Caenorhabditis elegans: one gene and its partner. The protein of the gene in region 1 interacts with the protein of each later gene in a pairwise test. Each region holds a gene or a part of one and is shown on either strand. Other genes may lie near its edges. The genes, in order: W03F9.2 and gla-3.

Region 1 (3,529 bases):
CTTCTTCGCACACCGGGCAGACACTATCAACAACAATTGGAGCAGCCTCATAGTCATCTGCTGACAAGTTTCTGTAGATCTGAAAAATATTTAGGAAATTGTGCCGTAAATTCTAGCAAAAACACTTACATCTTGAGAATCCGCAGCCATTTTACTTTAAAAAATGAATTTGTTGATTAAAATCGAAAATTATCTGCTTTAAAGTATTAATTTTAGAGAGAAATCTGGAAAAAACTGGAAAAATCTGGAAAAGAAAAACAAAAAAAATTCAAGTCTGCAAAGTTGCGTGACGGTGTTTGCGGACAAACGCCTGCGCCTCTTCATTTCGCGTTGTGCCTCGCGGTTTTTAATTATAAAATTTTTTAATAATTAGAATTCAGTACACATTCTTGTAAAGCCTTCCTATCTTGTGTCACTGAAGCTTTTTCGCAAAAAAAGCGCTTCCAAAGTAGCAGAAGAAACTGAGAAAAATGAATAAAACATTAAATGTCTGCGCTAAAATCTGTATTTTATTTTTATTTCAAAAAACGAATAAAAATCTTGTGATGAAGTTTTATTGACGGAAAATCGAATGAATATTTCATTTTTATCAAATTCCAACAGTATCTTGTTGCTCGTAGTCGTAGTTTCGGGATTCCAGAGACAGAAGTGCTGGATTGCCGGGCTTTTGAGCATTTGTAACCGATTTTTCTTGTGGCGGCGCTTCTTTTTCAGTTTCTGTGTGTTTTGAGATCATTTCATGGCGAAGACAGCATGGAAGATGCACTTTCACAGCTTTAAACTTGATTTTTTGAAGTTTTTCAATCATTTTCAGCCCATTTTCAAGTCGTTCTTTCGAAATTCCGAGTTGCTCGGTGGTTTTTGCATTTTCCAGACATTCGATCAACTGATTTTCCTTTGCAAAATCCGTCTGTTTGATGAGCTAAAAATTAATTAAATAAAATATAAAACGCAATACTAAATTTCACCTGAAAACTGCCAGGTTTGCCACCATGAAAATGTTCCAGGTGGTGCTTTCCTTCATCTTCGGTGTGAAAATTCAAGTTCCGGCATCCAGAGCATCGAAACGGGCGGTATATTATATGAGTCTGGAGCATGTGGAACTCGTATGCCGCCCATGTTGACCAGGCCACGGAGCAGGTTTCGCAGACAGGCCTTGGAGCATTTTCGGGAATCGATTCCCCGTAGGAGTCTGGATTGAATTCGGGAACTGATGAAGTTGGGAGTTTTCCTGAAGGTTAAAAAAAATTAATTTCACAAATAATATTTATAAATAATCACGTTTTAATGCAGAAGCTGGCTGAACAACTCGGATGGTGCACTGGCGTTGAGGGGAGCTCTGAAAAAAGAAATCTATAAAAAATGGCAGTATTTCTCAGCTTATTTGCAACTCACGAGAGTGACTAGATAATCGTCATGGTCTTGGGCTCCTGATGTAGATGGCTCTGTCATTTCAACCTGAATTTTCTGTTTTTAATCTTTTTAAAGCATTATAAAGCTTTAAAAAAATTTAAAAAAAAAAGAGAAAATTCAATGATAAAACAGTGTGCAAAAATGAGAGACGGAGAGTATTTGGCGTCGGTTTCAGTGTTTGGTACGCAAACACCGACCCATTGCGTACTCTTCGAATTAAATTTTTTTTGCGAATTTTTAGATTTTTCAACGTTTTTGCGGTTAAAAACCTCTTTTCCTCATTGAAAACTTTTCAATTTTCAACTAAATGTTTTCCTTTTTCAGATGTCAGGCGAGGATGACTACAATTCAGACGATGAGGCTAACAAGAACCTATCTAAAAAGGAGCTTCAGGAGTTGAAGAGAAAACAGCAGAAAAGCAAAAAGAAGAAGGAATCGAAGAAGAGAGCAAAAGCCACGAAGCAAGCTGAAATAGAAACACGAGAGGAGCCGAAAAAAGAGGAGGAAAATGGTGACGATCTTGACGTGGAAATCGATTATATCGGTGAAACAATTGAAATTGAGCCGGATAACCCGCACGCTCAATACTTTTCCGCAATTTTTGATGCTTTTAAGGTAACATATCACTATTTGTTAATGTTTTTCCAATATATCGGCTTCCAGATCTCCACCGACTCAGAAGACGGCTTCTCCTACGGCCATCACGTTTCCAAAGGCGAGAAAAAGGATGATTTGGGAAAAGTCGGTCAGGCCGAGCGAATTATTCAAGAGGAGATGGAAGAACGTGCCAAAGAAAACACAGAGGAGAAGCTTTCGCGTAGAAAACTCCGAATTTCTCTTCAACCGAGTATTGCAAAGCTTAAAGAGACGACACTTCGAGCCGATGTTGTTGAATGGGCCGATGTGACTTCTCGTGATCCGTATCTCCTTGTCGCAATGAAATCTTATAGAAATTCAGTTCCAGTTCCACGCCATTGGAATGCAAAGCGTAAATATCTCGCCGGAAAGCGAGGATTCGAACGGCCACCATTTGAGTTGCCAGATTTTATTAAAAGAACCGGAATTCAGGATATGAGAGAAGCGCTGCTGGAAAAAGAAGAAAGCCAGAGCCTTAAATCAAAAATGAGAGAGCGGGCCCGCCCGAAGCTTGGAAAAATCGATATTGATTATCAAAAACTTCACGACGCGTTCTTCAAATGGCAAACCAAGCCGGCTATGACAAAAATGGGCGAGCTCTACTATGAAGGAAAAGAGATGGAGGCGATGATGAGAGACAAGAAGCCGGGTGAAATGTCGGATGAGCTTAGAATTGCACTGGGAATGCCCATCGGATCGAATGCGTTCAAGTTTCCACCGCCATGGTTGATTGCGATGCAACGTTACGGACCACCGCCCAGTTTTCCGCATATTAAGATTCCTGGATTGAATGCGCCGATTCCTGGTACGGTAAAATGTTCTGGATGTACTATTTTAGAGCAGAAATCTAAAAAACATTATGAAAAATTTTACATTTCAACATAAAATTACCAAAAACCTAGAAAATTGCCTGCTAAATTTCATTTTCAACGTAAAATTAACAAATCTGTGAATTTTTGCACCTGTACCGACCACAAGAACTGAGATCGTGGCGAGACCCGCTTTAAGCGCCAAATTTTTGCAAAATGATAAATAATTTTCTTTTGATAAAAAATTTTCTTCGCATAATTTAACACACAAATATTCATAAATTCTGCCAAAAAAAATTATTATGAAATTTTCAGATATTTTTTTCGCAAAAACATGTTATCCTGAAAGAAATTAAGACAAACTTGACAATTTTATGTTCAGTAAATACATTTTACGAAAAAAAAATGTCTGAAAATTCAGAAAAAATTTGGTTTTGGTTGAAAAAATTATGAAATCAAATTTAGAAAAATAAAAAATAACTTCTTTCACGATTTTCAAGCAAAAAATACGATACTGGGTCTCGACACGACAAATTAATGTTTAATGCGAGGTGCTATATTTTGATCAATTTTTCCAAATTTATCAATTAAAAACTCAAAAAAAAAACAAGTTTTGGTAAATTTTGGGAGATGCCACATTGAAAAGTTGGTTAAATTTTCAATTTTAACGG
Region 2 (5,259 bases), on another chromosome or scaffold:
CAGGATATTCTAGAAAGTGTTGTGGTGACTCTACATGCCATATGTCTTCTTATTATCTCCACAATTAGAAATTGCTTCCCAATGGGATGGCTACTACGAAAAGACGTTCGAGGTATCGGATCACGTACACAAGGAAATAATATTAAAAGTTTCAGGACAAACTGTGCTGATCACTGGCTCCGGAAGTGGATTAGGCCGATTGATGGCCTTCGAGTTCGGAAAACTCGGTGCAAGATTAGTGTTATGGGATATAAACGAGCAAGGAAACAAAGAAACACTCAAAGAATTGGAAGCGATGGGAGTTGAGGTTTGGACTTGCAACATTTTTCACATTTATAGATTTATTAGATGAATGTTCGCTAAAACTTACTACAACTACAGCTAACTATTACTATTACAAAGCTAGTGTCAAGAGCGGCGCGGGCTCGTTAGAAATAATGAAAACAAGTGTAAATGGAACAAAAAGTGAAGAAAAATACAAAATTTAAATTATGAATATCGTACTTTTGTGGATGGTATCCGTATCACTTGAGGAAAACAAGATTATGTGGGTGGGAAAAAGCTGGAAGTATCCATATCCTCTACAAGAAACCCTAAATACATACAAAAAACTAAAGAAGAGCTGCGAGTAGAACAAAAATTACGATGAAAAAGGACAAAATGATAAAGTATAAAATTTAGAAACTGAATTGGGTGAGAAATGAGAAAATGATTACAATAATGGGCTTTAAAATCATCGCTGGTCCTCCTAAATCGAGTGACTCTGATGACAGGCGTCACCGAAGGGGCACGATCCGGTGGCTGCAAAAAAATCGCAAGGTTCCAGGAATGAAGGCGTCTGGCCGGCCGATGATGACGGAGTGAAAAGGCTTTTCGATCCTGAGCCGTCTAAAAAATAGCCGATATATTGGAGGTTCTACTCAAATACTAAAAAAAATTTTACCGTAGTTTGGTGTCTTTTCATCTACGAAAAAGAACATTGGAGAGCAGGTCATCTTGCTTGATGTTGTAGTTGAACATTCGGAAGATTGCAGTGGCTCCTTGAGAGTTTCGGCGATTTTTAGAGTATCAAAATCGAACATAGAACACTTTGGTTTTTCGGTTGCTACTTGATCGAGCAGATTCTCGTTGCTCAATAGTTCCATCAAAGACATCACGACAGGACTTGAGCTTTCGCTGGAGCTTAGTTTATCTGAAATTGATGGATATTCAGAACTATAAATTTTTATAGAAATTTTTCGAGTAAATTAACCAATAAACATACCATCTCGATCGCCTTGTCTCACAAAATCATTAGCCATCATCATTTCCTCGTCTGTAATTGGATACTTGTCTGATCGAAGAGCATCCATTTTTGTGAGCAGACTTGCCGCAGAACTCGATTCGTTGATCGTCGCAGCTCCGCGAGTTCGTGTCATGGCTCCGGACTGTTTTTTCGGCTTCGGCTCGAGCCAAATCGAAAACGAGTCATCAGGTGGGAGCAAGGACTCCGAGATCTCCGGTGGTGAGAGAAGAGCCGCAAACGGATGTTGAGGTCCCTGTTGATGCGAATAACGGTATTGCTGAGCAGCATGATGCAGATATTGCTGATGCTGGTGTAGCTGATGTTGTGACTGATGATGATGATGGATTGGATGTTGATGTGGGGGACGATGACGTCCTGGCATGAAATTTGATAAACGATTTCCAGTTCCATGGTAATGACAGTCCGAAGTATTTGGTTCTAAAATGTATGCAATAGTTCGATCAATTTTCCTATTTATTTGGTTGATTTCAATCTTACCGTTTCCTGCAAGTCGTGGATGGTATGGTGGGGTCATAGGAGCATTGAAGTGATGACCATTACTCATTTGATCACTCTGAACAAAAATTGTTTGAATTTTTTTAAATCTAAAAGAAATTGTGAAAAAAGAAAAACCTGAGACACCACTCACCGAAGTTTGCCTAGACACGTCACGCTCGTTGATATATCCTCGCTCTATCATAAAACGAAGGTAGTTCAAATCTTTCATTTTCAGTTTAGACAAAAGTCGATCCATTTCCGAATTTTTCTGTTGAGTCGGTTGACGATCATTGGGTCCAACTCTCTGTCCGCCTATCTCTATGTCCTTCTGACGTTGATAGATTTCACCAGCAACATTCCAAATCGCTTGTTGAAATTGCGGAGGGGGACCGCCGACCTCTCGTGAAGTACGAACATTGGATCTTGATCTTTGGTGCTGTGGTGGGATATGGTATGCTCCAGATCCCAAACGATTCGGATCTTGACCAGGGATGTTGACTGGCCCTGTAACAATGAATTTTGATTTAAAAAATCTCTGAAGAAAAACTTGTCGTAATTTCACTAGAATTTGACATGTTTTCTTGAAGGCGCACGGATTCATTCAGGGTCTCGACGTATAAAAAGTTTATGATAGTCTTTTTTAATTTATACTCCAAAAACTGATTTAAACTAATTTTAGCAAAAAAAATGAATAGAAAACGATAAAGATTGATAAAAACTAAGTCATTGTTTTGAAAAATTCAAGAAAACGAGAAATCAGCCGCAACAATTCAAAAAGACTACCATAAAAATTTCAGCGGGCTGAGACTCATTTCATTAAATTCGAGAAAACCTCGTGAAATCTCTATACCTCCAAATTGTTGAGAAGGAACCCCTTGCGTAGCACGATTCGAGGAACGTTGATGGTGTCCATGAGATGGAAATCCAGCTGAGAACATTGACTGTTGCGGGTATGGGAACGGATTCGGAGACTGAAAACAAGTTGTTCAGTTTCAACCGAAAGTTATTCTTGAAGTTACAAAACTAACCAAAAATCCGTAATCGTCAATATCATCGTCACGAGAACATATTTCATGCTTCTTTTCCTGTTCTTGCTCGACACCGTTTTTAGATAATGATGAAATCGCATCCTTCTCTGCAGCTGAGCTGGTTGGTGGTGGTACAGCTCCAATTGACATGGAAATCCATCTTTCCTGAGCTGGAGATAACGGCATCGAAGAGTTTTGTTCTTTGAAGGCAGTATTCGATGGAATATTCACTGTTAATCCTTTGACGTTGGTTGATGCACGCTTTGTCGGCGACTTTTGAATTTCAGCAGTAGCCGGTCGCTCATTCTCTTCTTCGTTCGAACGATCAATCCGGACCTGAAAAACCAGATTTCTTTGATGTTTCCTACGCTGCTTAACTGACCACTTTACGAAGATCGTCTTCACCGTGAGCATACCAGCACGCGTCGCCATACGAACAGCTGCCCGAGCGTCGCCAGTGATCGCAAATCTTTGTCTGAAACTACAAGGAATGAGTAGATCTTAATTAAAATATTGAAGTGTTAAGAAATTAAAACGTTTTTCCAAAAATAGAACCTTCCTTAATGCGGGGTTATGCTCTCGATTGGAGGTAAAATTTTGATGTTGCCAAAAACATTGAGAAGAATCTTGATACACCGTGTAGTTCCCTAGACTTTCTAAATTTCTGACTGGATCCATATCTGAGTTCAATAGAGGCTGAGGTTGAAAAGAAAACCCCTGAATTTTATTATAAACCAAAAATACACTTTTTCCGAAAATTACCGGCGGAGCAGGAGTAAGTCGACTTTTTAACAAAGATGGTTGATAAAGCATGGTTGGGTGAGTAGGATGGAGAAAATAAAATGTTTTATTAAACACTAATTTCTAGTTATTTTTTTAGCTTTAGTTTTTTCCTCTACCCCCTTCTGCTCTAGTTTCTCACGAACTACCGCTTTTCTGATCTTACTTTCGGTTTTGGGCCGTTTGGTTTATTGCCGTTGGTGCTGTTTGTAAGCGCATCACGGGGATCTATGACGACGCTGAAAATTTTGTTTTTAGCAATTAGTTATTCATACGAAGAATATACCTTATTTCCTGAGTTTTTGACGCAGAGCTACTCATCTATTTACAGAAAAATACGATTTAGAATCTGAAAATGGCTTTTTTAAAAATATTTTACTCAAAAATGGGAAACAAAGAGAAGTTGAATAAATTTAGGTAAGCAAATGAGAAAAAGTACAAATTCAAATGACACGCTAAACAACGCGCGATCGTCATTTCGGAGTGTCGTTGTGCGTTTCTCTGCGTCTCTGCGATTTGTATACTGTTTCATTTCTATATCTTTCAGGCTAAAGCATACACAGTGGACCTATCGGAATACAAAGAAATCAATAGAACCGCCGATTTGGTTAAAAGTGAAGTAGGGAAAGTAGATATTCTCGTGAACAACGCTGGAATTGTGACGGGTAAGTACAGTCGGCTGAAAACATCCAAACTTCTGAAAAATTCATGTACAATACAAAAACACAGTAAATAATAATTTTGTTCCTTATAGAGTTAATTTTTTCCTGTAGAAGACACGAGACCCGAAGAACTCGGGGGATGTCCAATTGGGGGGATTACCAACTCGGGGATTGGCCCCGCCCACAGAACCGTGGCTTGCAATACGCCCATTTCTGCAACTGCCGCACGGTTTTGAAACTGTATTTTTCTTGTTAAATCTCGCTCTATTGAGAAAAATACAGTTTCGAAACCGTGCGGCAGTTGCAGAAATGGGCGTATTGCAAGCCACGGTTCTGTGGGCGGGGCCAATCCCCGAGTTGGTAATCCCCCCAATTGGACATCCCCCGAGTTCTTCGGGTCTCGAAGACACAATGAAGAGTCGCAATACACATGGTATTAATTAAATGAATTTGAATGGCGCGGCGGGACCCACTGGCAAAAAAGCACATCCCTTGCTAATTGCATACTGTAGAGATTTAGAAACATACGAAGTTTAGCGTATTACATATTTTTCATTTTAAGCGAAATATGCCAGATAAAGAGAGAAAACAAAAATCAATAAAATAAATAAAATGATAAGACTTTCGAAAAGGTTCAGTGAACCCATTGTTACTTCACACAAAAATTACAGTAGTAATTTGAAGAATTACTGTAGTTTTCGCTACGAGATATTTTGCGCGTCTGATATGTTGCGCAATACGCATTCTCAGAAATTAGTATTCCCATAATATCTTTTCATAAAAACATTTCAAGGAAAAAAGTTGCTGCAATGTCCAGATGAGCTGATGGTCAAGACTGTTTCAGTTAACACAAATGCTTTGTTCTTTGTAAGATATGACTTTTGTTGAAAAGAGAATACCGAAATTTTCCAGACTACCAAAAATTTCCTTCCCGGCATGCTCGAGTCGAATAAAGGGCATATTGTAACAATTGCTTCAATGGCTGGAAAGTGTGGTGTTGCTGGAT

What was found.
Region 2: the proteins of W03F9.2 (region 1) and gla-3 interact in a two-hybrid assay, tested with the Caenorhabditis elegans proteins (2 studies listed by BioGRID).

What each region holds. Positions count from the first base shown.
Region 1 is NC_003283.11:126,500-130,028, forward strand, and holds W03F9.2 (C2H2-type domain-containing protein), read right to left. Parts: upstream 1,536-3,529; 5' UTR 1,453-1,535; coding exon 1,396-1,452; intron 1,354-1,395; exon of another isoform or gene 1,340-1,353; coding exon 1,282-1,339; intron 1,232-1,281; coding exon 969-1,231; intron 923-968; coding exon 590-922; 3' UTR 501-589; downstream 1-500. Other genes in the region: W03F9.1 (Zinc finger protein ZPR1 homolog), read right to left, coding at 1-79, 130-150; sftb-2 (PSP proline-rich domain-containing protein), read left to right, coding at 1,738-2,028, 2,077-2,854.
Region 2 is NC_003279.8:8,213,063-8,218,321, reverse strand, and holds gla-3 (C3H1-type domain-containing protein), read right to left. Parts: upstream 3,625-5,259; coding exon 3,574-3,624; intron 3,529-3,573; coding exon 3,367-3,528; intron 3,293-3,366; coding exon of another isoform or gene 3,287-3,292; coding exon 3,194-3,286; intron 3,148-3,193; coding exon 2,812-3,147; intron 2,755-2,811; coding exon 2,634-2,754; intron 2,288-2,633; coding exon 1,935-2,287; intron 1,860-1,934; coding exon 1,784-1,859; intron 1,724-1,783; coding exon 1,265-1,723; intron 1,193-1,264; coding exon 944-1,192; intron 889-943; coding exon 749-888; downstream 1-748. Other genes in the region: Protein dhs-3, read left to right, coding at 35-307, 4,139-4,256, 5,047-5,120, 5,166-5,259.